4 linked regions of the Notamacropus eugenii genome follow. The protein of the gene in region 1 interacts with the protein of each later gene in a pairwise test. Links are inferred from orthologs where the notes say so. Each region holds a gene or a part of one and is shown in the gene's direction. Other genes may lie near its edges. The genes, in order: ATXN1, PSMC3, SLC6A13 and CFL1.

The links.
Region 2: the proteins of ATXN1 (region 1) and PSMC3 interact in binary tests that used the Homo sapiens proteins (3 or more experiments, as listed by UniProt). The link is inferred for Notamacropus eugenii from reciprocal best matches to the Homo sapiens genes ATXN1 and PSMC3.
Region 3: the proteins of ATXN1 (region 1) and SLC6A13 interact in binary tests that used the Homo sapiens proteins (3 or more experiments, as listed by UniProt). The link is inferred for Notamacropus eugenii from reciprocal best matches to the Homo sapiens genes ATXN1 and SLC6A13.
Region 4: the proteins of ATXN1 (region 1) and CFL1 interact in binary tests that used the Homo sapiens proteins (3 or more experiments, as listed by UniProt). The link is inferred for Notamacropus eugenii from reciprocal best matches to the Homo sapiens genes ATXN1 and CFL1.

What each region holds. Positions count from the first base shown.
Region 1 is NC_092875.1:189,267,008-189,274,347, reverse strand, and holds the start of ATXN1 (ataxin-1), read left to right. Parts: upstream 1-4,340; 5' UTR 4,341-4,586; intron 4,587-5,614; exon of another isoform or gene 5,615-6,139; intron 6,140-7,340. UniProt on the Homo sapiens protein: Chromatin-binding factor that repress Notch signaling in the absence of Notch intracellular domain by acting as a CBF1 corepressor. Binds to the HEY promoter and might assist, along with NCOR2, RBPJ-mediated repression. Binds RNA in vitro.
Region 2 is NC_092877.1:3,554,227-3,561,826, forward strand, and holds the start of PSMC3 (26S proteasome regulatory subunit 6A), read left to right. Parts: upstream 1-4,596; 5' UTR 4,597-4,886; coding exon 4,887-4,913; intron 4,914-7,600. Other genes in the region: RAPSN (43 kDa receptor-associated protein of the synapse), read left to right, coding at 249-448, 1,074-1,146.
Region 3 is NC_092874.1:203,661,774-203,669,318, reverse strand, and holds the start of SLC6A13 (sodium- and chloride-dependent GABA transporter 2), read left to right. Parts: upstream 1-4,543; 5' UTR 4,544-4,628; intron 4,629-7,545. UniProt on the Homo sapiens protein: Mediates sodium- and chloride-dependent transport of gamma-aminobutyric acid (GABA). Mediates transport of beta-alanine. Can also mediate transport of taurine and hypotaurine.
Region 4 is NC_092873.1:18,552,588-18,560,112, reverse strand, and holds CFL1 (cofilin-1), read left to right. Parts: upstream 1-4,508; 5' UTR 4,509-4,742; coding exon 4,743-4,745; intron 4,746-5,201; exon of another isoform or gene 5,202-5,311; intron 5,312-5,844; coding exon 5,845-6,152; intron 6,153-6,244; coding exon 6,245-6,321; intron 6,322-6,529; coding exon 6,530-6,642; 3' UTR 6,643-7,103; downstream 7,104-7,525. Other genes in the region: crossover junction endonuclease MUS81, read right to left, coding at 1-88, 467-535, 667-765, 1,692-1,771, 2,278-2,410, 2,599-2,736.

The sequences.
Region 1 (7,340 bases):
TTTATCACAACAGAAATTCACCTCCTAAAGAATTAGATTTGTTCCCCTAGGTAAACACAGATAAAAGAAAGAAGTGATATTCAGAGGGGTTAAATGACTACACTGGGAAGATAATGGTAATTTTAGAGTCAAGATTTGAACCTAGGCCTCTTGAATAGATCAGTAAGAAATGAATTTTATAATCCACTTACAGGTGTTATGGAGAAATTCAACTGGAGCTGAATTTCTAAGAGTCAATAGATGTGGGTTTTCCAGCAAGTTCTGACACTAGTCTGTAACCTTGCCTAAATTATATAATCTCCATGAATCTCAGTGGCCTCATTTATCATCTTAGTTACCTCACAGAAATATATAAAGATGAAATCTTTTTAAAAGGGCTTTCAAAGTATATAGGGTGCTACACAAATATAAGATAAATTCTCATCATGTGCCTTAAAGCTAAGCAGTCAAAACTGATGAAAAATTAATATTATTATATATTCTTAAAATAATACTTCATTCCAAACAACATTATTGTGATCCTGTGCAAATGTCTTTTTTGCTAAGTCCTTCAGTCAAAATGAGACAAGGCTGACTGTGTTTATGAGTTAACTGTTTTTGAGGAAGGTCTATCCAAAGTTGCAGTGTTTGATTTGGGTATGTTATGAGTTTTGGGTGGGTGGAGGATACTGGAATAAGATCAAAATTCCATCAAAGAATTTAAATAAAAATTCTAAATAGGTGTATGTGCTGAGTACTAAACTTGAAAAGATGCCTACATCAGTCCATATCTAACTGCTATAACGTGGTAGTAAATATTTTAACTCCATATCTCTGTCAATAATTAAACAAAGCATACCTATCCAACGACTGCCAATAAACCGATTTATGAACCACTATTTTTAAATTGCCCTGAAGTTGGAGACCCATACAATTATTACATTCAGCACGCTTGTGCTCCCTCTACTGCTTTGATGGAAACATTAACTCATCCAGACTTCAGTACAATTTCCTCAGCAGGGTGCAATGTCTTTGAAAAAAATTACTACTGTGTCCACAAATTAGGGAGTTCATGAACTAGAACACAGAAATGGCAGAAAATAATTATGTCTTTAAGAAACCCCCAAACCTTTAAAGGCACAAACTGATGGGGACAAGACTCTAGGAACAGACAGAAGAGACAAGGGGGATGAATGAACATAGGAGTTAAGTGGAATACTGTGGGAGTTATGAACTTTTTTGGAAACTATTATTTTATAGCCAATTATTTTAAAGTATAAAAGCATTCTTGATACAATATTTCTAATCCCACAAACATGCAGCCAATAAAATTTAATGGGTAGACTTCTTTATATGTTCCTGATAGCTAAGTAATCCAAGACATATGTTAGGTAGGAAGATTCCCCGAATCCAGGAGTACAATGGTGGCAGAGGACAGAATGGAAGGCTTTTCTAGGCATTTCCTTGTCTTTTAAAGTTTGCCTTGTCCATGTGTGAATGTAATATCTGGTTTGTGAATAGTACTATAGTACTACACATTTGCTTACTGTTTCATGAAAGCTGTACTCTTTTGACTAAGCTTTTATTTGCATGAGATAGTCTCACTTTTAAAGAGACAGTGCCAGATCTGTCTTATTTTCAATTTAATCCTTTCTCATCTGAAAACAACTGTCTCCAATACCCTAGATAATGAAACGGTATCATGAAAATTATGCTTAGTTTTTGGACTTGCAGGAAGAAATAGTTACAGATTTAAGTCATAGTTTATGGCTGTTCATCTCAGAAATTAATGCACATTCTTGTTTTACTGTCTTAGTAATATACAGATTTAGTTTCCTTAAGGGTGCATTTAAATTAATTGACTGACTTTAATCTGAATTATGAGTTTTAATTTGCTGAAGGCTGTTAAAATAACTTGAACTGCTTATGTCAATGAAATAATAAAAATATTTGCTTCTTTATTAAAAAAAATTCTCTTAATGCAAGATGACTAAAAATAGACTGGAGGTGGATTGGACAGTCTGCAGATTATGAGTTGGAATAAAAATGTCTCACTTAAGCCAAAAACATGGCAACCAATATTTTCTGTTATAAAAATATTTTAGATGAATTTAGTTTTTATGAAAGCTGTCTGAAGCTGAAAGGAATAGCAGCAGCTCTCTATTTATTCACAAGCCAGTAATAATACCTGAGGCTCCAAAAAGAAGCCATTACTGCATAAAACCAACCAGTTCCTGTTTTTGTTCAAAATCCCACTCTGATGAGGAGGTTAAAATTTTATGTTTTGTTATGTTATTTGATACCAACCTTCACTTTGCTAATGCCTGTCCATTGGAACAGCAAAAAAGATCACAGTTTTTTGAGAAATGGATCATAACTGTCCACTAGAGGCTGTAATGAGACCAACAATGTCATTGTACAGCAGACCCTGGATTTTCAAATGGTAAAAATAAATAAAAATGAGTAATGATGACCAATGGTTCTTTTTCATGAGTAACAAATTATGAGCTCGGATTTTCAAAATGATAGAAAAAATTATTTTTCATACTCAACACACTATTTTATTTTCATATCTAAAGTACAAGGCTTTGCAGCCCTTCAGGGGGCTACAAGCTGACACCACATTTCTTTTGGTGATTCTGGATTTGCATGACATGTTGACTAATGTATTTCAGTCACACATGAATGAGGCTGAAAGATCCATTCAACATAGAGGCAACAAGTAGAGTATTAAAATGCAATGTAAACTTCTTTTTGAGCTGAATGTTCCCTGTTTATCCAGACTAACTCCATGAAGGAGACCAGACAGTGTCCCGACACCTATAGGTTCCCCATTTATCTGCTGTAAGAGGAAACTGAGCTTGCTTCAGCATGAATGTGGCTTCTTTTCCTCTATGTATGCCACACCTGTTGGCAAGGTGAATAATTCTCAGAAAGAGATTCCTTCCTACTGAGGTAACATTCAACTAAGGGATAAAAAAAAGAAAAGAAAAAAAAAAACCCTAACAACCCCGAAGAGTTTACCACTGAGCCCAGAGGATGTGCTTGAATCAGCTGTCTAAAGTTCATTTGACATCTGCCATTCCCCAACTTTCACTAGGACCTCATTTCGGATTAAATCAATGAACTTGACATTGTCCAGGTGAAGATGTTGTCTCTTGTAGCTGGCTGCTCTGCTGAGACATTAGGAATAGTTACTGAACATCCGGGTCCAAAGAATCTTTTCTGGCCTGCTTTCGAGAGTAAAGGAATGGGCAAGGGGTAGTCAGTTACTAGGCTTCAGAGAAAGTGGAGGTAAGGGAAAGGGGAGTCCCTCAAAGTTTCCCCAATAGAATTTAGTGCAGATTTCAGGGACCTCGTAGTCATCCTCGATCTTCTGCATTAAAGAATGAGTTCCCAAGCCTTGAACTGCTAACCCACTTGCTCGCTCAACCGGTTTCAGGGTTGACATGAGTTGTTCATTTAGCAGAGGCAAGACACTTTGAGCATCTGTGTCCAGAGGAGCGGTTAGTTCGGTTAGGTCAATGTCGATTGAGTAATTCTCTCTCTGGCACTCACCTGGAAGTCGACACTTCTGTAACCTCCTTGGGGTTTGAGTAAAAAAAGTCAGTCGGAGCTCCTCGGAGACCTTTCCCTGCCTGCTTGCCAAGGAAGTGAAAGAAGAGTGTGTGAGCGTGTGTGCGTGTGCGTGTGTCTGTGTAGGGGGGAGGCAGTGGCGGAGGCGTTGTAAGAACCCACCCTCTGAGGTTTAAATAAGCCAGTCCCACCACCTTGACCTTTCATTTCTGCCACCCTTCCTTTACTATCATCCCTCACCGCCTCCCATCCCCAAAAAGCTACTTTTTCCGAGGAGTGGTTAATGCGTGCAGGTTCTGGAATGAAAACTGCTTCCTCTCTCCCCCCAGCCCCCACCCCCCGCCAGTCCCTAATCCCTCCCAGTAAATTCTTAGAAGAAGGCTGTGCAGAGACCAGGGAAGGGTTAAGCCCGGCTGGCCGGGCTCTGCTGTGCGTATGCAATAATCTGTGTGGCTCTCTTGGATGTTCGCCAAAGAGTTGCCTTGCCTCCTCCCCCTCCCCCCCCACCCCAGTCCGGCCTCCTCTGCCCCCGCCCCCCCCCCCCCAGCTCTTTTCACTCCCCCCCACCCCCCAGTAGGATCCTTGAGCGGTTGCAGCGGCAGCCAACTGCTCCATATTTGGCTTCTATTACACATTTACATACTGGAGCAAGCGAGCAAGCGAGAGAGGGAGGGAGAGAGAGAGAGAGAGAGTGAGGGAGAGAGGGAGAGAGGGAGAGAGAGAGAGAGAGAGAGAGAGAGAGAGAGAGAGAGAGAGAGAGAGAGAGAGAGAGAGAGAGAGAGAGAGAGAGAAGGGGGGTGGAGGGAGGAGGGAGAGAGGGAGGGGAGTGGAGGAGGAGGAGAGAGCAGTGTATACCGCAGACATCATTTCTACTACAGTGGCAGAGGCGTCCAGGACCTGTTTCACTGCAGGGGGATAAAAAACAAGCCCTGTGGATCAGCAGCAGCGAGCAGCAACAGCCGCCGCAAGACATTGTTTCTCTCCCTCTGCCCCCCTTCCCCAAGCAACCCCAGATCCATTTACACTTTACAGTAAGTGGCTATTTTTTTCCTCCTGTTTCTTTCTCTCCCCCTCCCCCTTCTACTCTCCTCCCCCCTCTTCCCCCTCCCCCCTCCCCGTCCTCTTCTCCCCTTATATAGATTAAGACCCTTCTTTCTGCTATCCCGGGAACTACATCATCAACAACAACAAACAAATCCAACCCAAACCCTCAAACGGCGGCGGCACCAACCACAGCTGGAAGAGCAGAGAAGAAAATGATCCGCGTTGTGTTGTGTGTGTGTGTTGTGTGCGTGTGTGTACATACAACCTTCCTACGCTTCAGCCTCTCTGTTGCCAACACCCCCACTCCTAGCGCTGGGGCAATTGGCTAAGGGAACAGGCCAGGAAGCAGATGGAATAGGTGTGGGCGGGAGGGGGTGGGGGACACGCGCCCCTGGGGGGAGGGGGCGGGGGGTGGATTGTCCCTGGGTGCCCGGGGAGATTCAGTGCACCCCTGTTACTGCTGCTGCTGCCACTCGGGCTCCCGAGTGCCTGTAAGAAATGTCCTCCCTCGGGGTGGCGCAGAGGGAGTCAGCAGCAGCCTGCACTCCTCTCCACCTCAGCCCCCCCAACACTCCCCCCACTCACCCCTACTTTGCACTCTCCAGACTGGGAAGGAGGGATTCTGTGTGTGTGTGTGTGTGTGTGTGTGTGTGTGTGTGTGAGCGAGCGTGCACGCGTAGGTATGTGTTGATTCTGGGGAGGGCTGGACTCCCAGCTTACCGGCTTCTTCCTCTTTGCTACTGGGGGTCGCCAAGCCTGGGAAGATTGTCCATCTGTGTGTGTGTGTGTGTGTGTGTGTGTGTGTGTGTGTGTGTACACATCTAGGGGAAGTGGAAACTCTGTGTGTGTGTGGGGGGGGGGGGGTCTGTCCAGGACTTTGCAAGTGACCAAGACCTACTGCCCTGGCTAGAAGAAGAGGGGTGGGAGCACTGGGGAGGGGGCGTAAGGGGGAGGCAGAGACAGACACAGAGAGACTGAGGCTGGCAAGGGTAACGGGGAGGGGACGCGCGCGCGCGTGAGTGTGTCTGTGGGTGCCCGGAGCAGCGGCCGCGGCTGGAGTGGCGGCCCTGGCTGGCTGCTGCCTTGTTTGTGCGGCGGCTTCCTGATCATGTGGAGGGAGCCTCCGCTGCTGCTGCTGCTGCTGCTGCTGCTGCTGCTGCTGCTGCTGCTGCTGCTGCTGCTGCCTCCGCCGCCGCCGCCGCTCTGCTGCCGCTGCCCGGTGCCTGGCTAGCACTCGGTTCGAGGGGTGAGGGGAGGCTGCTCGCGGGTGCCGGCTGCACGTTGCACGGGAGAGAGCGTAAGAGAGTAGTAGAGGAGCTGGTGGCCGCGGGGCAAGTCCTGCCCCCGTGCCTAGAGTGAAAGGGCTTGTGTGGCTGCTGAGAGGGTGAATGAAGCCAGGAGGAGGGGAAGGAGAAGGAGGAGGAGACGCTGCAGGGATTGGGATGCGCCCAGTAGCCCCGCTGCTCACTCAGGGCCGGGCCAGGCCGGAGACACCATCACCACTACCACTACCACCGCCTCCTACTTGTTCCAGTGCTGAGTGAGTGCAGGCCAGTCCCCAGAGGGCAAGCGAGGGAGAGGGGGAGGGTGTGCAAGCGGGGCCCAAAGGGGAGAGGTAGAAGTGAGGTGTTGTAATAAGAGGGGCGTGTGCGTGCGTGCGTGTGAGCGTGTGTGAGCGTGTGTGTGTGTGTGTGTGTGTGTGTGTGTGTGTGTATTGGGGGAAGGGGTCATGCTTAGAAAGGGACTTTGAGATTGGGACCTTGGTCATCTCTGGTCTCCTGCTTTTTGTTTTTTTTTTTTTTCTTCCTGCACCAGCTTCAACCCCTTCACCTTTTCCCCCGCCTCAGTTGGCCTCAAACTTCCTGTGCTGGGCTTTCGTTTTATTTCAGGCCATGCAGGGTTTTTGCTGGAAGTGGTAAAACAATTCCGATTTTCTAGGGAGAACCTTGGTGAGGGGTGAGGGAGGAGGGACTGAAGCTGATGGAGATTGTGTCGGGGAGGGGGGGACACTGCACAGTTTCCAAGGACGTTGGGAATCAGCAAAAACCCATTCCAGCACTGTTTTGTTTTGTTGTTTTTGATAGCTACAACCCTACAAAAATTGGGAACATTTAAATACTTTTGCAGATGGGAAAATTGCTGAGGAGTAGTAATGGCAAAAAAAAAAAAAAACCCAAGTCGGAAGCTGGTTATATAATGCTCTATGTGGATAACAAGAACAAGCTATTTTTATTTTGTTTACCGTATGCTGTGCAGTAGGGACTCCTCCAAACTGGATCTATCCCGGATGAGATTCTGAGCTTCCCCCACAAGATGCTCAGGATACAGTTAACAAAATCAGAAGACCCCGTTGTGCATAAACAATAAAAGCTAATGCTTTGAAATATCATCCTCTCCTTAAAATATGGTCTTGAATACACAGCCGTGTGTATAGGTGAATAAGTTCAGTTTTAGATACAGAGTATTCCCAGTTTGGTGACATTTGTTTTTTATGATGTGGACTGCACTTAATATTTAATCGTCATTGTTATATATTATGTAGTAATGGTTAGTTAGTTATCAGATTTATTTAGGCACACTTTTGCTAATGCCTTAGGTAAGCTTTCTGCATTTGGATTTCTGATGAAACCTTCAGTTAACAGAGACCCCTGCCATCTTCCAACAACCTCTTTGCATTATTCATCGGATGAAAATAGTTTGATCCGCTGACTCCTCGGAATGAAGGTTATTGACGGAGGGTG
Region 2 (7,600 bases), on another chromosome or scaffold:
AGGGGGTGGGCTTAGGGGCAGTGAGACAGAGGGTCTCCCCCACTGTCAGACCACCCACTAAGCAGCAGACCCATCTGAATCCCTTCCCCTGTGAGACCTAGCTGCTACCCGTTGTTCAGGGTCGCTGGACAACTGCTAAAAGGCATGGGGGCACTGCCAAGGTTGAGGGATGCCCCTGAATGGCTCCATATAGTCTGGTATCCTTTCCTCTGCCACCCCCATGTACCTGTCTCCTCTCTGTGCACCAGCTAAGTCAGCTGAAGCTCCACTGCCTGAGCGAGGGCATCTATCGCAGCAGGGGTCAGCAACGGGAGCTGCGGGCTCACGTCGTGCGCTTCCATGAGTGTGTAGAGGAGACCGAGCTATACTGTGGGCTCTGTGGGGAGTCCATTGGGGAGAGGAACAACCGGCTGCAGGCCCTGCCCTGCTCCCACTTCTTCCACCTAAGGTAAAAGGCTGGAGGAGATTGCCCAAGTGCTGCTTGTGGAGTGTCTGCTCCTGGTGGCTAGGACTGACAGGGAGCATGGTGCCGCTGGTACTGGATAGCTCGGGACAGTTCTGCGGAGACATTACCAGGGGGCTGGGCAGCTGGCTGCACCCACAGCCAGATTGGGCAGTGCCTGAATGCAGGTGCCTCGCCTTTGCCAAGCTTGCTTCTTGCTACGTTTCTGCACTTTCAGGAGGTGACCATTTGTAGGGCCCTAACTTCCACCTTGCCCTCTTCCCTCACTGCTCTTCCTGTTCTGTGTAGGGTGCTGTGGTGGTAAAAAGGTGTAGCGAAATGGTTCCTGCCTTCCAGGAATCCAGATCATTCCAGACTCAACAGCATTTGGGAGGGTCCCTGGCCAGAGCCAGGACAGCATTTCAGAGGGAGAATTGGTTCCAGCTGAAGGTTTGGGGAAGGCCTCACCACGTGACCCCAGAGTGTCCTTTAGGGGAGGATTAAGGTTTATGCTGGGTGAGGATGAGCCCCTGGAGAGGGGCAGTGGCAGGGGAAGGTCATGAGGAAGTTCCAGGGTGACAGTGCATGATCGGGGCAGCTGGTTCATGAGCAATCCTCTTTGCCCCATAAGGTGCTTACAGAACAATGGGACCCGGAGCTGTCCCAATTGCCGCCGTTCCTCCATGAAGCCGGGCTTTGTGTAACGGACTGACACCCCTCTGTGAGCCTGGAAGGGGCCTGAGGGAGAAGCACGAACAGGTCCCTTCCTCCTCCTCTTCCAGTCACTGCCCAGGCCTCCCTCATCTGCCTGGACGTGCTGCAGTCCTGGACCCACCAAGGATTTCCTCGCCTACTGTGACCTCAGCATCGTTAGCCTACTCAGAGCTCCCCTTCCATGAACTCTGCCAAAGCCACGTCCTCTGGGGTTTCCCCCTTGAATTCCACAGGCTAGCTTTGTTGTCACAGTGGCCCAGAGGAGTCCAGTTTCATTGTCATCCTGGCCCTCACCCTATCCTAGCCTTCCCGGCTGCCATGTTTCTGTCCTTTACTTGGCCCCCCACATTTGTTCCCTTTCCCCTCGGGGGAAAGTTGGCATTCTGGAAGCCAGATTCCTGTCTGGGGTGGTGGCAGTAACTGGGGTTATCTGGTCCCTTTCGGGGGGCTGCCTTGCGCCCTCCCCTGCTGTCATGCTCAACCCTGAGACTGGGTGACCGACTTCCCCCACAGTAGGATACGACTCTCTGAGACTGTCTCAGCTTGGGCCAGTATACCAGGCACCAGGCAAGAAGCGGCCCTCCCCCATCCCCACTGCTCCCCAGATGATTCCAGCCAGCCCACCCTGCACTTGTTTGTATTCCCTTCTTTATAGAAAAATAAAAAGGCAATCATTTCTACCCAGGTCTGACTAAAGCTAATTGTGCTCTGGGCTGTCTCCCATCCCTGAAATGCTCTCCCTTCGTCTGAGGGCTTCCCTGAATCCCAATGAGAATCCCACCTTTTATAGGAAGCCTTTCCCAAACCTTTGTCATGTGCCTATGACAAGGCACATGTGGATAGCTTATGTATTGATGAGGTTGGTTTGTGAACCTGTCCCAAAGTATTTATTCAACAAGAATTAAGAACCTACTGTTTACAAAGCAGTTTGCTAGATGTTGAGAAAAATACAGTGTGGATAAAACTTGTCCCTGACTTTGAGAAGTATACACTATAGGGGAGAGGTGACACATTAATTAGAATATCAAATATGACTGATACAAGAAGGATCTCAGTATAGGAAAGGAGTGAGCATTTATTAAGCACCTACGGTGTGCCAGGCACACTTAATGTGGAAATGCTTTCTACCTACCCACATGGCAGTTGGTCTGTGACCTAGAGGGATCCCAAGAAGTTGCCTGAGAGGCCCATAAAGGTTAAGTAATTTGCTTAGGCTCACACAAGTACTGTCAGAGGCAGCTTCTGAAAACCAGGGCTTCCTGCCTCTAAGCCCAGCATTCCAGCTACTCTGTTCCCTGTAATATCTGCTTTATCTATTCTAATAACAGAAGTAGTAGAATTAACAGAATTACATAGGAAGTTCACAAAAGTTCACCAAAAACAATGTATTATACTAGCCATCTAGCTTTTATATAGCACTTCAAGGCTTGCAGAATAGCTTACAAATACCTCATTTTATCCTCTTAACAACCCTGAGAAGTAGCAGCTATTATCCCCTTTTGTACAAATGGAGATGGGGAAACGAATGTAGACGGGTTAAGTGAGCTGCTGAGATCACACAGGTAGGTAGTGCCTGAGACTAGATTTGAACTCAAGTCTTCCATGCAACCATACAACCTAACTGGCCTTTAGGTTTTATTAGAGATTAAAAATTAGCTCTGGAACTATGCCCAGAAGGCAATCAAACGTCAGACCCTTTGATCCAGCAATACCACTGCTTAGTCTGTATCACAGAGAGATCGTAAGAAAGGGAAAAGGGCCCACATGGACAAAAACATTTATAGCAGCTCTTTTTGTGGTGGCCAACAACTGGAAGCTGAGGGGATGCCCATGTGCTGGGGAGTGGCGTATGAATGTGATGGAGAGCTGTTGTGCTATAAGAAATGATGAGAGGCCTGGACTTCCATGAGCTGATGCCGAGTGAAACGAGCAGAGCCAGGGGAACGTGGCACAGGGACAGCAACGTGTGTGGGCACCAGCTTTGAGACTTGGCTGTCCTCAGCGATGATCCGGGAGAGTTCCAAAAGGCTGGCCGTGAAACGTGGGCTTCACATCCAGAGAAAGAACTGATGGAGTCTGACTGCATCAAAGCACACCTTTCACTTTATTTTTGTGTGTGTGTAGTCTCGCAAACTAGTTTTTTTCCTCCAAACTTTCTTCTTTCACAATATGAAGAGTGCCTGCACAGACCGTGGCCTAAAGGGCCCACGGCCTCCCAGGGCATCCTGGGCCATCTCCAGTCATCCTGAGGAACACCTGGGCACCGAACCCACATGGCTCTGGAGGAGGTGAGGCCAGGGACCTGCACAGCCCTCTGTCCCTCACAACAAAGTCAAGTGCAGTCGTGTCTTCATGTCTCTGATGGCCACGAAGAACGAACACAATATGGAAACAGGTTTTACGTGGCTGCACGTTACAACCCATTTCAAAGTGCTTACTGTCTTAGGGAGAGGGAGAGGATGGAGCGAGAAAACTGGGAACCCAGCGTTGTATAAAAAGATTAGCCCTGGACAGAAGCCTGTTTGTCCTCCTTGTGGGCCCTGCCCAGCTCTTCTCAGTGTCAGGGAATGATAAGGAGAGAGGCCTCAAGAAAGAAGCAGCTGGTGTTTGTCCAGGGAGATAGGACAGGGGGGAGAGCCCGGGCAGGGGCACCAACCCGCCAGCGCCATCAGAGCTGGTGCCCAGGCCCAGGCCCTGCCCTGCCCGAGGGCCGAGCTCGGTGCCCCCTGCTGCCCAGCTAGGCCTCTGGCACCTGCCTCCCTGCCCCGCAGCGGCCCTGGCCTCCTGGCTGCAGGTCATCTTGGCTCGGGGCATCTTCTTGGGCGGCCGTGTCCTCACCCAAGGGCTTCCTGGAATCCCAGCTAAAACCCCACCTTTTAGCCCTTGGCTCCCTGAGCTGTTGTGCTGGAGCTGGCTTTGTCTAGCTGGCATCCCCCAGCTTACAGGGCATACAGTGGGTGCTTGATAAATGCTGATTCTGTGTCCCGCCTTGAGCTAGCTTTGCACCTCCTGTGTGTGTGCTGGATGGCTCCCCCATCCGACTGGGCGGCTTAGCCTGGCATACAGTAGGCGCTTAATCAGTGCCCCTGCCGTGGGCGCACGCGGAGCCATCCCTTGCTCCGGGCGGCTCCTTAAGGAGGCCACCCCTGGCTTCCCTACGCCTCAGTCTCCCCGGCTACTCGCATCTGGACGCCTCGTGGAAGCCTGGAAGCGCGCGACTATCGCGATTATCGCCGTCCGGCTCCGCCTCCTCCAGGCAGCCTTCCCACCCGAAGCCCTTCCCTCGGGGGAGCCCCCGCTGCTCCCTGAGAACTACGAATCCCGACAGCCCGCGAGGCAGCGCAGCCTCGTGACGTAGACCGTGGCGCCGCCGCCGCCGCCGCCGGAGCCAATGACGGCCGAGAGCTCGCCCCTCCCCGGAAGCAGGCCGGCCGAAGGCGGGACCAGTGGCACGTGACCGCGCCCCGCTCGCCCCGACTTCCTCCTCACCGCCCCGCCCCTCCCCGAAGCGGTCTCGCAGATTCGCCGCAGCCGCGCTCCCGGAGCGTCGCTGACCGAGGCAGGCCGCCGATGGTGCCCGGGCCGCGCGGCAGGAGGCCGGGCTAAGCGGCGCTGGTCGGGCTCGGCGCTGGGCCTTTATCCCCGCGCGGGCCCGCCGCCCCTCCGCATCCGGCGGCCGAGCGTCGAATGTGCGGCCGGAAGTGGGGGCCCAGTGACTCGGCAGGAGAAGATGGCGTCCGTGTGGGACGAGGCTGAGGTGAGCGCCGGCGGGGGCGCCTGCTGCGTACGGAGGGGCCGGGGCCGGGGCCGGGCCGGAGAGGAACCGCGAGGCCTCGCGCGGAGGCGGGGAGGGGAGGCCAGGGCGGCCGGCGCTCCAGGCGGGGGGCACGGCCGGCGCAAAGGCCCCGAGCGGGGCTTGAACCGGCGCGAAGGCCCCGGGGGGAAGATCTCTTTGGCTGCAATGCGGAGCGTGCTCAGGAGGGGGAGAGGCCCGGTTCAGGTTCGGCCTGAGACCCTTCCGACGCTGGGCGCGTGGCTTCACTCTGCCTGCCTCAGTTTCCTCATCTGTCACATGAGCGGGAGAAGGAAGTCAAGCCGCTGCTGGCCTAGGCCCAGGCAGGACTAAAGGGAGGGGAGAGGCAGCATCCATTAGGCGCCTCCTGTGTGCGGCCCCCACTCGTGTCCTGGCAGCATCAGGGAGCATCAGCTCGGAGAGAAGGTGGAGGAGGGCAAGGAGCGAGTGTAGACGGCAGGGAGCCGCCCTCTGGGAATCGCCAGGGTTAGGGAGCGAGTGTAGACGGCAGGGAGCCGCCCTCTGGGAATCGCCAGGGTTAGGGAGCGAGTGTAGACGGCAGGGAGCCACCCTCTGGGAATCGCCAGGGTTAGGGAGCGAGTGTAGACAGAAGGGAGCCACTCTCTGGGAATCGCCAGGGTTAGGGAGCGAGTGTAGACGGCAGGGAGCCACCCTCTGGGAATCGCCAGGGTTAGGGAGCGAGTGTAGACAGAAGGGAGCCGCCCTCTGGGAATCGCCAGGGTTAGGGAGCGAGTGTAGACAGAAGGGAGCCGCCCTCTGGGAATCGCCAGGGTTAGGGAGCGAGTGTAGACAGAAGGGAGCCGCCCTCTGGGAATCGCCAGGGTTAGGGAGCGAGTGTAGACGGCAGGGAGCCGCCCTCTGGGAATCGCCAGGGTTAGGGAGCGAGTGTAGACAGAAGGGAGCCACTCTCTGGGAATCGCCAGGGTTAGGGAGCGAGTGTAGACGGCAGGGAGCCACCCTCTGGGAATCGCCAGGGTTAGGGAGCGAGTGTAGACAGAAGGGAGCCGCCCTCTGGGAATCGCCAGGGTTAGGGAGCGAGTGTAGACAGAAGGGAGCCGCCCTCTGGGAATCGCCAGGGTTAGGGAGCGAGTGTAGACAGAAGGGAGCCGCCCTCTGGGAATCGCCAGGGTTAGGGAGCGAGTGTAGACGGCAGGGAGCCGCCCTCTGGGAATCGCCAGGGTTAGGGAGCGAGTGTAGACGGCAGGGAGCCGCCCTCTGGGAATCGCCAGGGTTAGGGAGCGAGTGTAGACGGCAGGGAGCCGCCCTCTGGGAATCGCCAGGGTTAGGGAGCGAGTGTAGACAGAAGGGAGCCACTCTCTGGGAATCGCCAGGGTTAGGGAGCGAGTGTAGACGGCAGGGAGCCACCCTCTGGGAATCGCCAGGGTTAGGGAGCGAGTGTAGACAGAAGGGAGCCGCCCTCTGGGAATCGCCAGGGTTAGGGAGCGAGTGTAGACAGAAGGGAGCCGCCCTCTGGGAATCGCCAGGGTTAGGGAGCGAGTGTAGACGGCAGGGAGCCACCCTCTGGGAATCGCCAGGGTTAGGGAGCGAGTGTAGACGGCAGGGAGCCGCCCTCTGGGAATCGCCAGGGTTAGGGAGCGAGTGTAGACGGCAGGGAGCCGCCCTCTGGGAATCGCCAGGGTTAGGGAGCGAGTGTAGACAGAAGGGAGCCACTCTCTGGGAATCGCCAGGGTTAGGGAGCGAGTGTAGACGGCAGGGAGCCACCCTCTGGGAATCGCCAGGGTTAGGGAGCGAGTGTAGGCAGAAGGGAGCCACCCTCTGGGAATCGCCAGGGTTAGGGAGCGAGTGTAGACAGAAGGGAGCCGCCCTCTGGGAATCGCCAGGGTTAGGGAGCGAGTGTAGACAGAAGGGAGCCGCCCTCTGGGAATCGCCAGGGTTAGGGAGCCAGTGTAGACGGCAGAGGCCTGTGCTCTGGGAATCCCCAGGGTTAGGGAGCCTTATGCGGGCCCCCCAAGGAGAGGGACAGCCACCGTCAGAGCGGCCCCCCGGGCTGCAGCAGTGCTTTGCCTCTCCCTTGTGCGGCTCGTTTTACAGATGAGGAAACCGAGGCAGGCAGAAGGCCTGGTCTGAACTCAGCAGCACCTGGCCGCCCGCGGGGCAGGTAGGGAAGGACGGGCTCTGGGGGCTGTGTGAAATGGGGAGGACGGGCTGCTGCCATCTGTCTTGTAGCAGGAGGCCTTTGGTCCCGCAGCCCTTGGGCAGCTGGGGAAGGTGCGGATCCCTTGTTGGGTCGCCCAAAGACCAGTTACGTGGAAATGCAGCGTGGGGTTCTTGTTGGTGGGCCCCAGCTGAAGGACTTGTGGGCTGGAGGGGCTCTCTCCCATTGTGCTCACTCCCCGCGCTCCCAGCTCTGACACTCTGTGAACCCAGAGTGTAAAAGGGAGTCTGGGGGAGCGTGGAGGGGGCGAAGGCTGGCTGCCCTGAGAGCGGAGGCAGGCAGGAAGCTCGCTGAGAGAGTGACCCACTCCAGCCACATAACATCATCATTTCTGAAATAACTGCAGACAGTACGGAGGCGCCTGTGTGAGCACAGTTACAAACACTCGTCACACGGACGAGGACAGACCTAAGGGTCTCGTGGGTCGTTTACTTATTCCCTGCCGTACCACCAC
Region 3 (7,545 bases), on another chromosome or scaffold:
CATGATTACTACCCTTGCCTTTTTTCCCCTAATATATTCTACTTCTGATCTTTATTTTATGTGTCTGTCTTATTTCCTATCTCTCTTATCTCCTCTGCTTAACTTCTACCTGCTACCTCACTCTCCTGTTACTTAATCTACCCTCTCACAAAGATACCTCCCTTATTCTCTCCCTCCACCTTTCCCCTTGCCCTCTTGTTTCTTCATAACTTTATTTATTTATATAATTATATAAATACATGTAAATTTATATAATATAAATCATATATATAAAATAATAATAAATATATAATAAATTCATTTATATATTTATAAATATATTCTTGTTAAATTTATTCCCTTCTGAATATATGTATTGTTCTTTTACCCAGATATGATGTGAGTAAAGTTCTCTCTAAAAATCTCTCCCTTATCCTTTCCCCTTTCCCTACCCCCTTAGCTTTTTATTTCTTTCTGAACTGAGAAGAGTTTTTTATACCTATATTTCCCTCCTTACTGCATTCCTAATAAAAGTAGTGTTTCAGAACTACTAGACCTCCTCCCGCATCTAATTCCTCTGTGTTGGTTCTTCCTTTCATACCGCATTTTTATAAGATAATTACTCATTTTACCTTTTTCTAAAAAGTTTTACTATTTAGAATCACATCATACTCAGGTCTGCCTCACTCTTTCTTTTGAACTACTCAGTTACTAATAGCAATCTTACACGTATGTTTTACATTTCCTCACGTGAAAAAGAAACAGTCTGTCCTTACTGAGTCCCTTATAATTAGTCTTTGAAGTGTATCTTATATTTCTCTTGAATCTTATATGTCAAATTTTCTATTAAATTCTGATCTTTTTGCAACAAAATCCTGAAAGTCTGTCAATTCATTGAATGTCCCCCCTTTTTTTCCCATTCAGATTATACTTAACTTTGCTAAGTATGATATTTTCAATCATAACCCCAGTTCTTTTGTTCTTCAGCATATAATGTTCTGAGATCTGTGGGTTTTTTTTTTAAGTGCAGCTGCTGCTAGATTTTATGTGATTCTAACTGTGATTGTCATAATGAGTTATTTTGTTTCTCGTTTCTCACAATATTTTCTCCTTGAGCTGGGAGTTTTGGAATCTAGCTATGATATCCCTGTAGTTTTTCCCAGTAGTATCTCTTTCAAGTGGTGATTAGTAGATTTTTTCTATTTCTACTTTCCCTTCTTGTGCTAATACTTCAGAATACTTTAATTATTTCTTGTATTACTCTTATCAAGATTCTTTTTTTGATCCTAGCTTTCAGGTAGTCTGATTATTCTTATGCTTTCTCTTCTTGATCTCTTCTCCAGATCAGTTGTTTTTCTTATGAAAAATTTTCTTACTTTTTTTTTTATTCTTTGTATTTTGTTTTATTATTTCTTGATGTCTTGTACTTTCACAGGCTTTCCCTTGCCAGACTCTTAATTTTCAAGGAGTTGTTTTCTTCCTTAAGATCCTGGATCTCCTTTTCCAGTTTGTTGATTTTCTATTCATAATCTTATTTTTCTTGGATTGTTCTTATTATTTTCTTTAAAATTTCCTTAATCTCTCTCATTTGATTTTTAAAGTCTTTTTTAAGTTCTTGTATGAATTCTTTTTGGGCAGGTGACCATTTGATGTTACCCTTTGGTTCAGGAGAGGTTTTTTTGTTTCACTATTCTCCGCTGAAGAGGAACCCTGGTCCTCTATATTCCCATAGTAACTCTTCATGATTGTATTCTTTCTCCCTTGCCTGCTCATTTTTTTTTTATTTGTAGCAGTTTATTATTGTAATCACCTTTAGTCCTGAGGTGTGGGGGATGGTGCTTCTGACCTCAGATCCTCCTTCAGTTCTCCCTCTTGGACCTGGAACTGAAACCAAGAACTCTGCCTTCCTGTATGTACTCACAGCCAGCAGCATCCCCAACCCCATTGCTTCTGTACTCACTCACCTAGAGTGGTGTCTGGGCAGCACAGATGGGCTTGGTGTCCCTTATCAACAAAGGTTCCCTCAATCTTTCCCACTCAGATGCCTGATACCCCACACTGTCTGGGAGGTGAAAATCCCTGTGATTGGGGCTGACCCAACCTCCCAACCAAGCTAGCCCCAGGGCTCACCACTTGCTGCTTCAGTGGAACTAGCCTGGAGATGTTTACCCTTCACAGACACCAAATATCAGTCCTTCAGATCTTCTCTGGTTGTTCCAGGAGGACCACTGTTCTACTACAACTCTTATTTATTTTTACTACTCTACATTCTCCCTGAGGCGCTATTTTGTCTTATTTGTGGGGGAAATCTGGAGATCTTGGAATTTTCTGACCTATTCCACCATCTTCCCAGAATTCGTGAGATTCTGGACTATTTGTTCTTCTAGATAATATTCCCCCACCCCAGTTCTATAAAGTAATACTCTGGTAGTTTGATTGGCATGACATTAGATAAATAGCTTTATTTAGATAGTAGTGTCATTTTTATTGTATTTTCATTGCCTACCCATGAACAATGAATATTTCTCTAATAATTTAGGTCTATTTTTATTGCTATAAAGAGTGCTTTACAGTGCTATATTTTATCAGAATTCATTGTCTGTTGATATAATAATGTGATTTTAATTCTTGTGAATTTTGTTAATAATGGCTGTTTAATATTTTAATAATGCCTTTTGTTTATGGTTTTCCTAATATTTAATCCATCCTGCATTCTTGATATAAATCCAAACTGGTCATAGCGTACAATCTTTTTAATATGTTTTTATAACTTCTTTGCTAATATTTTGTTTATATTTTTACCATATTAATTAAATATATTGGTTTACAGTTTTCTTTCTCTGTTATGTCTTCATTGCCCTCTGCTCTGTGCTTTTCATTCTTCTGGATTTAGTCATTATAATTAAACTGCCTTCTTAACCTAAAGCTCCCAACCACCCAGTACCTGGGGCCTTCTTACTTTGAAATACTCTCCCCTATTCTTGTCCTTTTCTCCTTTTGTGGAGTTCTTTCTGGGGCCTCCATCTTGGGGACAGGCTTAGGCCAACCATATTTCATTCCTTTTTGAGCTGTGTATCTTACATTCTGCACTTCATTACCATGACCCCACATGCATTCCTTTCCTCCTCCTCCTCCTCCTCTTTTATATATCTCTTCCCCCACCCCAATCATGAGAATGTAAGCTCCTTGAGGGTAGTTAATATCTTTTTGCTTGTATTTGTATCCCTAACACAACACAAGGCCTGGCATATAGTAAGCACTTAATAGATGATTGTTAGCACTTGCCTATCTCTTCCTGGTTTATTTATCTACAGTATATTTGTATGGTAGGATTCCTTTTTTATTCTTTTTGGAAATAGTGTATGTAATGTGAAAATCAATTCTTCAGATGTTTGATAGAATTCATTTGTAAAGCCATCTAGTCTTGGAGGTTTTTCTTTGGGTTTTTGTATGTCACTGGTCCTGTTTCTTTTTCTGAAACAGAATTATTTAAATTCTCTAATTCTTATGTTCATCTTCAGGATTTTATACTTTTTGTAAATATTCAGCCATTTAATCTAAGTTATTAATTTTGTTGGCATAAAATTAAGCAAAAATAAATTTTGGTTGTCTTATTTCTTCTTGAAATTCAATTAATATATAAGTTTAGATGATATGTAATTCAATGTATATATACTAAATGCTGATAGTGACTTATTATCTATGGTACCTGTAGATATAACATAGGTTCCCTGTTTATCTTTTGTAATTGTGTCTTTTACTGTACTTTGTCTAAGACCATGATTGCTACTCTTGCTTTTTTAAGTTCACCTGAAATATAATAGATTCCCCCCCCCAATAGCATTTAAGTTTTACCAATCAAATGGAAAGATAGTTTTCAATAAGATTTTAAGTTACATTTTTTTCTGCCTTCCTACCTTCCCTCTCCACCCCTCTCCTCAAGAAGGCAAGCAATCTGATGATTAATGATCATGTTAATATTTTCACATTAGTCATGTTGAGAAGGAACAAATGAGAAGAATGATAAGAAAGAAAAAAACAAAACAAAAAAGAACAAATAGTATGCTTCGATCTGCATTCGGACTCCATGAGGAAGACTTCCATGTACTTGGATTCCTTGGCCAGTTTTTTGGGGCTGGATTCCTCCCCTAGTACCCACAAGTTTCTGGATGTTTCTTCATGTAGACCTGGGTTGGGAAGATGCACTTACTATAGTTTCTCCTTAGATTTCTTGATCTTTACTCAGCCTTATTCTCATTTTTCATCCTCAGTGGATTAGTTGTGAAAAAAATGGGGCTATTCTGCTCCTATATCCTCTTCCATCTTTGCAACAATTCCCCTGTTAGAGTTTTCTTGAGCCCATTGGGTGCCACTCCCAGGTGCATGTGGTTCTATACTATGGTCATATGGATTTACATGTGCAGACTTACTCCAGGTCTTTATATAACTTGGGGTTTCTGTCTCTCTTTCATCATTACATGTGTTCCTGGTTACATATGGATGCTGCATGCACAAGAAGGATTACAACAGTCTCCCATGAATGAGATGGAAGTATTTAACTCAACCTTGAGAGTGAGAATGTGCCTTCCTGCTATACTTTCTTCTCAGTTAAAAATGTACAGCTTCTGAAAAATACATTGGATGCCATTGTAAGTTGTCTCTTTCATATTTAGACATTTTTATTTATTGAAAGGTATAGGAAAATAGTATATTTGTGTGAGAAATATTGAAATAAAACAGCTTCTCAGAGGAAACTTCTATGTGGACATGAGAGAAAGCAACCTTTCAGAGAAAACATACTTAAAGAAATTAAAGATAACTGAAGTATCATTTCCTCCAACAACTCACTTGTATGAGTGCTATGTGGATTTCAAGGGTGATAGCTATAAAAGCCTAACTAGCACTTTTTTTGGGGTAACTATGGTATAGTTGTGCATTGTTTGTCTGGAATTGGTCTTGTGATCCATGGGTGAATTTTGGTTTCTCACCCTAAGGTAGAGGTGAGTTGCTTTACACAAGGAGACCCTGCTTTGAGGCAGGGGTCAGACAGCAAATGGAGTTGGTGTCCAGAGAGAGAAGCAGAATGGCTTGAAACTGAATGGAGAAGAATTAGAAGAGCAGGAGAAAAGAACAGCTTCTTTAATGCGAACCTAGCCAAGACCAAATTAATGCAGGATAATAGGCTTTGCAGCTAGTGCTGGGAGTTGAGCTGATTGGAGGAAAGAAGAATCTTCAGCCATTTGAAGAGCTGACTGGGGAAAGGAAAGGTTAGCTAGGCTTTACTTCCTTTTACTACCACTATCTTGAAAGGTTTTTACTGTCACCTACTGCTGTAGATGGGAAAGTCCAGGAAAATTGAGTAAACAAACCGGTTTCCTGAGAGTCTAGCTGAGTCATATCATTGGTTATTTTTGAAAAATTAAGGACAAACAAGAAGTGAATAGACATAAATTGCTCTGTAGCCCCAGAGCTTCTGGCTTCATTAAAAGAGCAGTAACACCTTCTTCAGCAGCCCAAGAGTAGTAGCTAGTAAGGACCTGTAAAGAAACCAGAAGTGACCACCCAGAAGAGAAACAGTCTTGCCCAGGAGCAGATGAGTTTTGCAGATTGTCTCTTATGGAGACTGACATCCAGACTAGTAGTCCAGAGTTGTGAGTTGGTCCAGACACGTGAATTTCTCTACCTATGCATCTCTGCTAGATTTCTGCAAACTTGTGCCCACTTTCCCCCATGGATACTTTGTACATTGATGGGAGAGAATGATTTATGGGTAGATCATTATATAATGATTATTTTTGGTTTTGCCTTTGTATTTAATAAATGTTTCATGATTAAGAATTATTGGTGTCATATTGTTTGATCTGTTTCTTTGAGTAGAACATGGGTGGAGGCTCACAAACTAAAGTAATAAGCAGTTAACCTACAGTCCTTCCACATCAGGATTACCCCTAGGACTCTGAGAGAGTTGTAGCTGCATGGCCACACCCTATGGGGAACCACCCCAACCTACCAGAATGTCCAGCCTAGAGAGAGAGTTGGGGTCAGTGACATGCCTGTAATATACCATCTTCCTTAAAATGTAGTGGACTGCCCTATGCCAGCAAACGTTGGTGGGGGTATATGGGTAACATTCTTTTTCATCATCCTTAGCCCATCATGCCTCATCATTGATAAACCAAGCACCCTCTGGGATGACTTACAGCTACTTGTGAATACCCCATCTCCCTCCTCCTATTTGGTCACTGTTTTTCAGCTTGAAATCTTGTTCAATCTGTAATTTAGGGCAAATGGGTATATCTCTAGTTTCTAGAAGATAAGACACCATAGAGGGCTACTGTTCCCTTAGGACTGTCATAGCTGAAATAGTGGGCAGGAAAGAGTTGTCCTCTAGACTTAGCCCCTCTAGACTTATCTATAAAAGAGGTTTCCCAAGAAGTCTTCCCAAATGCTTTACATAAATTCTACTTCCTCTTCCTTTGGATTTTGCCCTGGACCCTCCTTATATGGGTAATCCTTTAATGTCATCTTTTTTGTTGTGTTTGGTGGATATGTCTTTATAGGAATCTGGTTGCTCAACTCTCCCATGCTTTTGTCTTTCTGTTTTCCAAGGAGTCTGAGAGTGAGTGTAAATAGAAATTATTTCTCTTCTCAGAAACTCTGAGGGTCTTCCCCTCCCTGATTGATTCTTTTGTGAAGGCTAAGTAGGCCATCTTTTACCTCAATTTTTACCTAGCCTTTGACTACTGAATGTGTGTTGCCTCAGACAAACTGAGACCTTGGGAAGACATTAACTCAAGAAGGGCAAAGTCTCTCACTGCATTCTGGGCCAGTACCAGTCATCCTGACCTATGACTTGCCTCTGGACTCTGATGACTATGGTGGAGATAGTGGGGCTGATGACTTTGCACAGCTCTGCCTCAGTTAAATCCAATTCACATGCAAATTAAAAACATCACCCTACTCATGTAATTGGTTCTCTTTGAGAATGGAGGACAAGCAGCAACAACCACCAAGGAGTCTGATTAGCTCTAATACTGGCTATATGTGATGGTGCATGTTTTTCAAAGGGCCATGGCTCTCTTCTGGGGCTCTTCTGTAGAATGCTAAACCATCTTCTCTTAATCACTTAGGGTGACTCTCCAGTGGTGTATGAGCTTGCATTTTCTCAAAGCACCAAGATTTTATAGCAAGATATGATCCCTTAGCAGGAATTCCTGACAACAAACTTTAAATTTATACTATCACTTATAGCTTTCCATGCTCTTTTGAGCTGAAACTAATCCTAGGCAATAGGCTTCCCTCAAATAATTTTTCAGGTGAGTGACATACTAGTCATGTGTCTCTATATCTTCTTGATCCTTAGAAATGCTAAAGTACAAGTCCATTGGCAGCGGGGCTCTTATCCTGTGCCTCTGGTCTTGCTCCTGGTGACATTATAATTAGAGGTCACATGCTGACTCCAATACTTTGGTGACTGCAGAAGTCCTCTGGTTTCTGGTTGGATATGTGTGGCATATCTGAACCAAAGGGCCTTCCTCTAGGGCAATGGTATCAAACTCAAATGGA
Region 4 (7,525 bases), on another chromosome or scaffold:
TGGCTGGCTGCTGGCTCTTCTGGATGAGATTTCTGTGAAGGAGAGAACGCAGGGATGGCCAGGGCTGGGTGCTGCTGCTGAGGGCCACCTGACCAGACAGGGAGGCAGAGGCAGATAACGGTCACCTGACCAGTAAGAGGCAGAGGCAGATAAGGGTCATCTCCCATGGTCCCGTGAGGAGGCCCCAGGGCTGGAGTCAGAGGACCCCATATGTATCCCACTTGAGCAGGGGGAGCTTTATGAAAGTTCTTTCTTCTCTCTCAGATTCAGTCTCTCCCTCCTATAAACTGAGGAGCTGGATTAGACTATGTCTAAGGACTGGCCCTTCGCCTTACACTCTGCTCCACAGCAAAGTCACTGAGTGGCTAACTTCTCATGAGCCCCAAAGGAAAAGGCCAAGGCAGGGCTGTGGACAGCAAGCCTCCCTTCTGGCCTCTTGGGGACCCCTGCCATCCCCGGCTCTTACCCTGGGTGCTTCCTGCTCACACCTCCTCAGAAGCTCCTCCTTGGTCAGGAACCCTGGGCTTTTGGGATCCTCAAAAAAGAGGCAGAGGGTCAGTGTCCCCCAGGGCCATCCCTGTCCCCAACCCTACCTGGTCTCATTGAACTGCCTCCAGGCTGTGTCCCTGTCCTCTCCCCACCCTCCCACTCCCATCCCAGGCTTACCAGCTGCTCCCTGTAGAGAATCAGCAGCAAAGCCCGGGCAGCTGAGTGTCGGGGTGGCCTGTAGCTGCTGCGGCCACCAGCCTTGGGCTGGCCTGGGCCCTACATCAGGCAGAGGAGAGGTGCTCCTGAGTCCAACAGCTTCCCAGACCCAGAGCAGGGTGATGGTTTCCTTGTCCACCCCTCCTCAATTCTCCTGCCTGGAGACTGCCTTCCCCTCCCCAAAGGGGAGGCTCATCCCTCAGATGGCCTCAGAAGCCTTTGCTGGCACCAAGCTGGCATTCTCCAAGGCTCCATCCTAGGCTTTCATCTCTCCACCCACTCTCGGTGACCTCCTCACAGTTCAGTTATCGTTATTGTAATCTGTCCACGTGACCTTCAGTGTTTCTCCTAAGCTCCTGCCATCACCCCTGGGGGCATCTTTATAGGCTGGCCACCTTTCCCTGCCTAGATACCACCAGGCATCCAGTCCTGTCAATCATCCACCCATCTCTGACATGCAGAGCTCCTCTTCACACACACCTGGAGCCCCTCCTCACTGCTGCCCTGGATGACTATCTCTCAGGCCCCAGCCTCTGCCCACTGCCAACCAGCCTCCACACAACTAGCTTCCCACACATCTCCATCCTAGGTCTTGGTTAAAATGCCAGAGCTCGGGTGCCACTGTGGGACCCAGCTCCCATTCCCTCTCTGGTGTCTTTGGTATCTCAACATGACAGGCGCACCCAGCATTCATTCCTCCCTCTCCCTCCTTAGGATCTTAGCTTCTTTCAAAGCTCAGTTGGGGGGGGGACCTGAAAAAGGAAAGGATTCCTGACCCCCCCCAAGCTGTTCCCTCCCTCTTGCCCCTTGGTGCTGGCTGCCTCCAGACCACTGCCCTAGGCAGATTCTCAGCTCCTCCACGGGTCGATGGGGTTGGACACCCCACCCCCAGGCTGGACATGTTAAATGGCTGCTCTGAGCTCCCCTTTCTTCCAGAGATTTCCCATCCCCCCCAACCCTGTGAGCCTTAGGGGGTCCCTTCTCACCGACTGAGAAGGGACTGCATCCTCTGGGGGTGTGCTGAACCCCACCTGGGGAAGTTCAGAGACCCGCAGCTCGCCTAGACCTGAGGAAACAACCACAGCATCAGAACAGGGGCAGCTTAGAACAAAAATGTCAGGGCCGGGGGGGGGGGGGGGGGGGCTGAGAACGGGGGATGTCAGGGCCGGGGGGGCTGAGAACGGGGGATGTCAGGGCCGGGGGGGGGGGCTGAGAACGGGGGATGTCAGGGCCGGGGGGGCCTGAGAACGGGGGATGTCAGGGCCGGGGGGGGGGCTGAGAACGGGGGATGTCAGGGCCGGGGGGGGGGGCTGAGAACGGGGGATGTCAGGGCCGGGGGGGCTGAGAACGGGGGATGTCAGGGCCGGGGGGGGCCTGAGAACAGGGGATATCGAGGCTTTGAGGGGCCTGAGAACAAGAGTGGCAGGGCTTAGGTTCATTGCTACCCCTGGATCCCAAGGAGCGAAGGGCCAGGGTGTCAGAGCGGCAGGCCAGCCCCGCCCCTCGTCTCGCCCCCTAGCTTGGTGCCCGGCCAGGCAGATCCAGGCTGGGTGTCAGACAGGCCCCCCTCACCCCGGCCGGCCTCCTGGTGCTGCTCCAGCCTCTGGTCCAGCATCCGGCACAGCGCATCCCCAAAGTGCCGCAGGATCTTGGCTTCCTTCCCGCTCCTCAGGGGCAGGGGGTAGCGCAGCAGGGAGCGCAGGGCCTGGAGGTGCAGGGGCGCTGGTGTGGCGGGTCAGCCCCCAGGGCCCTGGCCCCGCCCACCTCCAGGGCCTTCCAGACCCCGCCCACCCCTCCAGTCCCCGCCCACCTCCCGCCCCTTCCAGGCCCCTCCCCACTCCCTTCCAGGCTCCTACCTCACCGGGCACACCCCACCCCCACCCTCCGGCCCACCTTCTGATAGACGAAGCGCGTCCGCAAGCCCCGGCCGGCCGCCTCGTCCCGCCACTCGCGGAGCCAGCGCACGAAAAGCGGGTTGGCGCAGGCGGGCAGCGGCCGCTTCCGGCCCAGGCGGGGCGCGGGCGCGGCCATAGCTCAGCTCTGACTCGAGTTAGAACGGCCGGCGCTCCGGGTGGGGGGCGGGGCCTCGCTCTCCTCCCCGCGCGCCACGTGACCCGAGCCCCCGCCCCGGCTCTCAGGCTTCCCGAAGGTGGAAGGTGTGGACATCACCCCCCCCCCCCCCGCCCACGAATGGTTACTTCTGAGTGCTGAGCTTCTCACACAGCTCCCCCCGCGGCTGTCAGCATTTGGGCTCTCCCTACCATAGCACCCAGGAACCGAGGTCCCACCCCTTCCGCATTCTAGCAGAAGGAGAAAGGAAGGGATAAACGAGTGCTGCGCGGATGGGGAAACGGGAACAGCGCCCCCTGTGGTCGGGAGGGCGAAAGAAAACCGCTCTCACCTTGGCTCTCTTGCAGGATCGGCCTCGGCGCCTGCAGGGAGGATGGGAGCCTCCAGAGGGCGTGCGGAAGGGTCTGAACCTAGAGAAGCGAAGGGCACTGGAGCTGGGGCATAAAGCCCAGAGAATTCACAAAGGGGACTGGAGCCCGGGAGATCTGCACGGGGGTGGGGGCGGGGAGGAAAGAATACATCCCCAATGATGTGCAAAGGCGACTGGTGGGGGGGAATCTGCAAGAAAAGGACTGGGCTACAGACTGGGGGATGTCCAGAGGGGGCTCCGTAGAGCCCGGGTTATGTTCAAGGGGTCCGGCTCGAGCCCTGGACGTTTGCAGCGGGTGCTCTCCGGACAGAGCCCGGGGGATGGGCAGAGGAGAAGAGAGCTAGAGAATTCACAAAGGGAGCGTGCGAGGAGGCTGGACGGGTCTCCGACTTCGCGCTTTGCATTCACTGCAGCGGCCAGGGGCAGGCACAGAGGTCACCGACCGCCCGGCTGCTGCCCAGCCAGGGATTTCCCGGGCGCTCGCCAGCCCTGGGCCTGCCCTCCCGCAGTTTCCATATAAGGCTCAGTTTCCATATAAGGAGCGGTGCACGGGCGCTCTGCCTGGCTCCGCCCCATCCCGGCTCATGCCCTAATAAGGCGATCTGGGGCATCCCAGAGCTGCAGGCGAGGGGGGGGCTGGTCTCCAGGGCGACCGCGAAGCCCGCGCCCCCTCCCCTCCCACGGAAAGCGACGGGGCGCGGGGAGAGGTACGAGAAGATGGGTGCCACCTTGCCTTGGCTCCGGGCGGATCTCACCGCCTTGGCTTTGGGCCTCAGTTATGCCATCTGTGAAATGGGGGGCTCTGCAGGCTCGGTTCCTAGTGCCGAAAATCTCAGCCATTCACATCTCCGAGGGAATGCCATGGGGGCGCAAATCCCCTGCTCCTCCCCCCGCACTCCCCACCCTCGGTGACCCAGTCATGAGTGGTGTACCCCCTCCCCTCGGTCTCCTGGTTGGTCGTGTTTGCGGAGGCAAGCACAGATGAGCCTATGGGCACCGAAAGAGGCTGCACGTCAAAGCCCAGTTTTTTTAGTCAGCGGCTTCCTGCCTCAGTTTCTCCGTCTGCCGTACGTGGTGCCCAGCTCCTGACAACGAGAGATAAGAGATGAGCCTCAGTTTTCCTCTCTGTACAATGGGGACTAGAACTGGGGACCCTTGGGCAGCTGTGACGTTGGGAATGGGATCCAAGGGCCCAGAGCCCCGGCCTCTCGCCCCGGGCGCCCGAGCCGACGTCGCGGAGCAGCGGAGGCGGGACACCAACCCAAGGTGGAGCGCTCCTGGCCCCGCCCCTCTCCGCAGGGGGCCGAACGCCCGAACTCCCCGGGCAGTCTAGCATGGCTGGGGAGACTCCACTTCCCGGCGTGCCCTGGGGCGGCGCAGCGCCTCCGAACTTCATTTCCCATCGGCCCCGTCTCCAGAGCGCCGGAAGCTCGCCCCGCCTCTCATTGTGCGGCTCCTACTAAACGGAAGGGGCCGGGAGAGGCCGCGTTCAGTCGGCTCCAGGCAGCGGCGGCGAAGGAGCGACGCCCTCCTCTCCTGTGGCCCTCGTTTCCTCCCTCACCCTCCCTCCCTCACTCGCTCGCTCCTTTCCGGAACCATGGTGAGCGCGGGCCAGAGAGCTCCGAGGGGGCCCGGCGCCCGACAGCGGGGGTGGTGGAGGCGGTGCAGCGGGCGGGGCGGTGTCCTCATCCTCCTCTCCATCCTCCCCTCCGTCCTCCCCATCCCTTCCCCTCCCCCTCCTGGGGCGCCGCGGGCGAGACTGGCGGCTGGCGGAGGGGCTCGCGCGCCGGGCGGGTGGCCGGGCGGGCGCGCGCGCGCCCCGACGCCCCCCCCCGCGCGTGCTCGTCTGACGTTGACGGTTGTTGGGTGCAGCGGGCGCGCGCGCGACCCTCCTCCTCCCAACCGTTATGTAGTGTTGGGGGGGGTTAGGGGCGCGCGCGGCCCCCGTACCCGGGGGCGTCGCGCATGCGCGCACCTCCAAGGGCTGAAGCAAAACGAGGGGCAGTTGGGGAGGGGGAGGAAGGGAAAGAGAGGGGGCGCGCGCTCAGCCCAGAGCACGCGGCTCCGCAGCTGGAGGAGGGCGGGGTGTCGGGCCCTGCGTGATGCCTTGGGGGCGGCCTGGCCCTTTCCGGCGAGGATGATCCGCCGCTGCCCACCCCAGGCCGGGTGGGGGGGCACTCCGAGGCTAATGCCCAATTTGGGGAAGTGGGTCCGGAAGGCCTGGGCCGGACCCCTCCCCCCTTCCTGAGGGGGTGCCGAGCTTGTCTTCCTGGGGCGGGCTCTTTCCCCTCCCCCTCAGGAAGCGGCGCCGATCTCGGCTGCTTCCTCGGGGCCTTTTTGGTGTCGTGGTAGGGGGAAGCGCCAGAGCAGGACCCCCGTCCTGGAACTGGGGGCCCGGGAGGCTCTGTCCCCGGTTGTGGGGGCAGGGGGGCTCCAGAGCCCTCATCTGCGGCCCTTAGGCAGGAGCTGCCCCTGAGCTAGAGGGGAGGCGTGGCCGGAGCTGGGCCGGGGGCTCCGGGGGCTCGGGGCGGCCGAGAGTCAGAAGGTCAGAGTTGAGGTCCTGCCTTCTGACGCTGGTCAGCGTGGGCTCTGCGGCGTTTAGTCAGACGAGGAGTAGAGCGCCTCTGCCGGGAGCGTGCCCCGCAAAGGCCCGGCAAGCCTCCGAGCACCTGCTGACTTGTTCCCCTCCGTGCCCACAGGCCTCTGGCGTGGCTGTCTCGGACGGGGTGATCAAGGTGTTCAACGACATGAAAGTTCGCAAGTCCTCCACCCCCGAGGAGGTGAAGAAACGCAAGAAGGCCGTGCTGTTCTGCCTGAGCGAGGATAAGAAGAACATCGTGCTGGAGGAGGGCAAGGAGATCCTGGTGGGTGACGTGGGGCAGACTGTGGATGACCCCTACACCACCTTTGTCAAGATGCTACCGGACAAGGACTGCCGCTATGCCCTCTACGATGCTACCTACGAGACCAAGGAGAGCAAGAAGGAGGACCTGGTGTTCATCTTCTGGTGAGTCTGAGGGCGGTGGGCCCCTCAAGGCCAGGCTTGCCCAGAGGCACGCACTGGGAATTTTGGGCACTGACTGTTTTCTCTCCTGCCAGGGCCCCTGAGTGTGCCCCCCTCAAGAGCAAAATGATCTATGCGAGCTCCAAGGACGCCATCAAGAAGAAACTGACAGGTGTGTGTGTGCGGGCGCGTGTGTGAGAGATGGCATTCCCAATAGCGTAACCCTCTTTGGTGCTCAAGGCCGAATTTCGTTGGGTCTGAAGAACTGGGTGAGAAGCCTGACTGGCTGTGGTGGGACCTTGGAAGCTCAAGGCTGGGTTTTTATCTGTAAAGTGAGGGCACTTTGGCTCTGACTCGCCCATTTCCATTCCTTCTCACAGGAATCAAACACGAATTACAAGCCAACTGTTATGAGGAAGTGAAGGACCGCTGTACCCTGGCTGAGAAACTGGGGGGCAATGCCGTGATTTCCCTGGAGGGGAAGCCCTTGTGAGTCTCCCACGTCTGGCCCTCCTGCTGGGGCTGCCCAAGCCCAGTGGGGGAGCAGGCTGCCCCCTTCCTGCCAGACCCAAGGGCTGGGGGGATCCTAGCAGGGGCAGGGCAATCCCTTCACCCCTTTGCCAAACCACCCCCTGGCCTTCCCAAACCGCCTTTGATATTCTCATTCCTCCTGAGTTGTAGCAGACCAAGGTCCCCCCGATGCCCAGATGGGGGGGAGGCCAGTATTTTTTTTTAACTGACACCCCCAGTTTTCCCCCTTCCCCGGTGCTGCCAACTTCTAACCGTAATAGTGGCTTTGTGCTTGTTGTTTAGTTTGGTGTGTAAATGGAATGTTGTGGAGATCCCTTCCCCCACACAGCCGGCTCCCCTCCCCCCCTCCCCCAGTTACTCATGTGGCCAGTAAAAGGAAAGTTCAATTAAAAAAAAGACAAATAAAGAAAAGGTGAGCTGCTCTGCAGGTAGTTGTTTTCTGGGCTGGGCAGGAGGGATTTGGGGATGGTAAAGTATGGCAGGTTCCCTTTACCATCTCTCCCGAGTTCTGACGGAATTGTTGCCTGGGCCTGGGGCTTTGATCGGTGCCTTCTGGCTGGAAGACAGCCGTCTTCTCTGGATCTTCCCTACAGTTTGACCTAAGGTGGGCCCTTCCCAAGCCTTCTGATCTCTGGGCTATTGGTTTTATGAGTCTCTTTTCCCTGGAGTTGGGCCCAGGAGGAACTCTGCCAGATGAGCCTGTTACTGGGAAGGGGCTTCTCACTCTGTGGAGGAGCTAGCTTCCCGTGAAGCCAGCCTCAAGGGAGCACACAACATGCTGGGTCCAAAGCAGGCAGCTTTATTTCCATTAGTGAAGGAAAGACTCCGCTGGCTTGCTGGGTCTG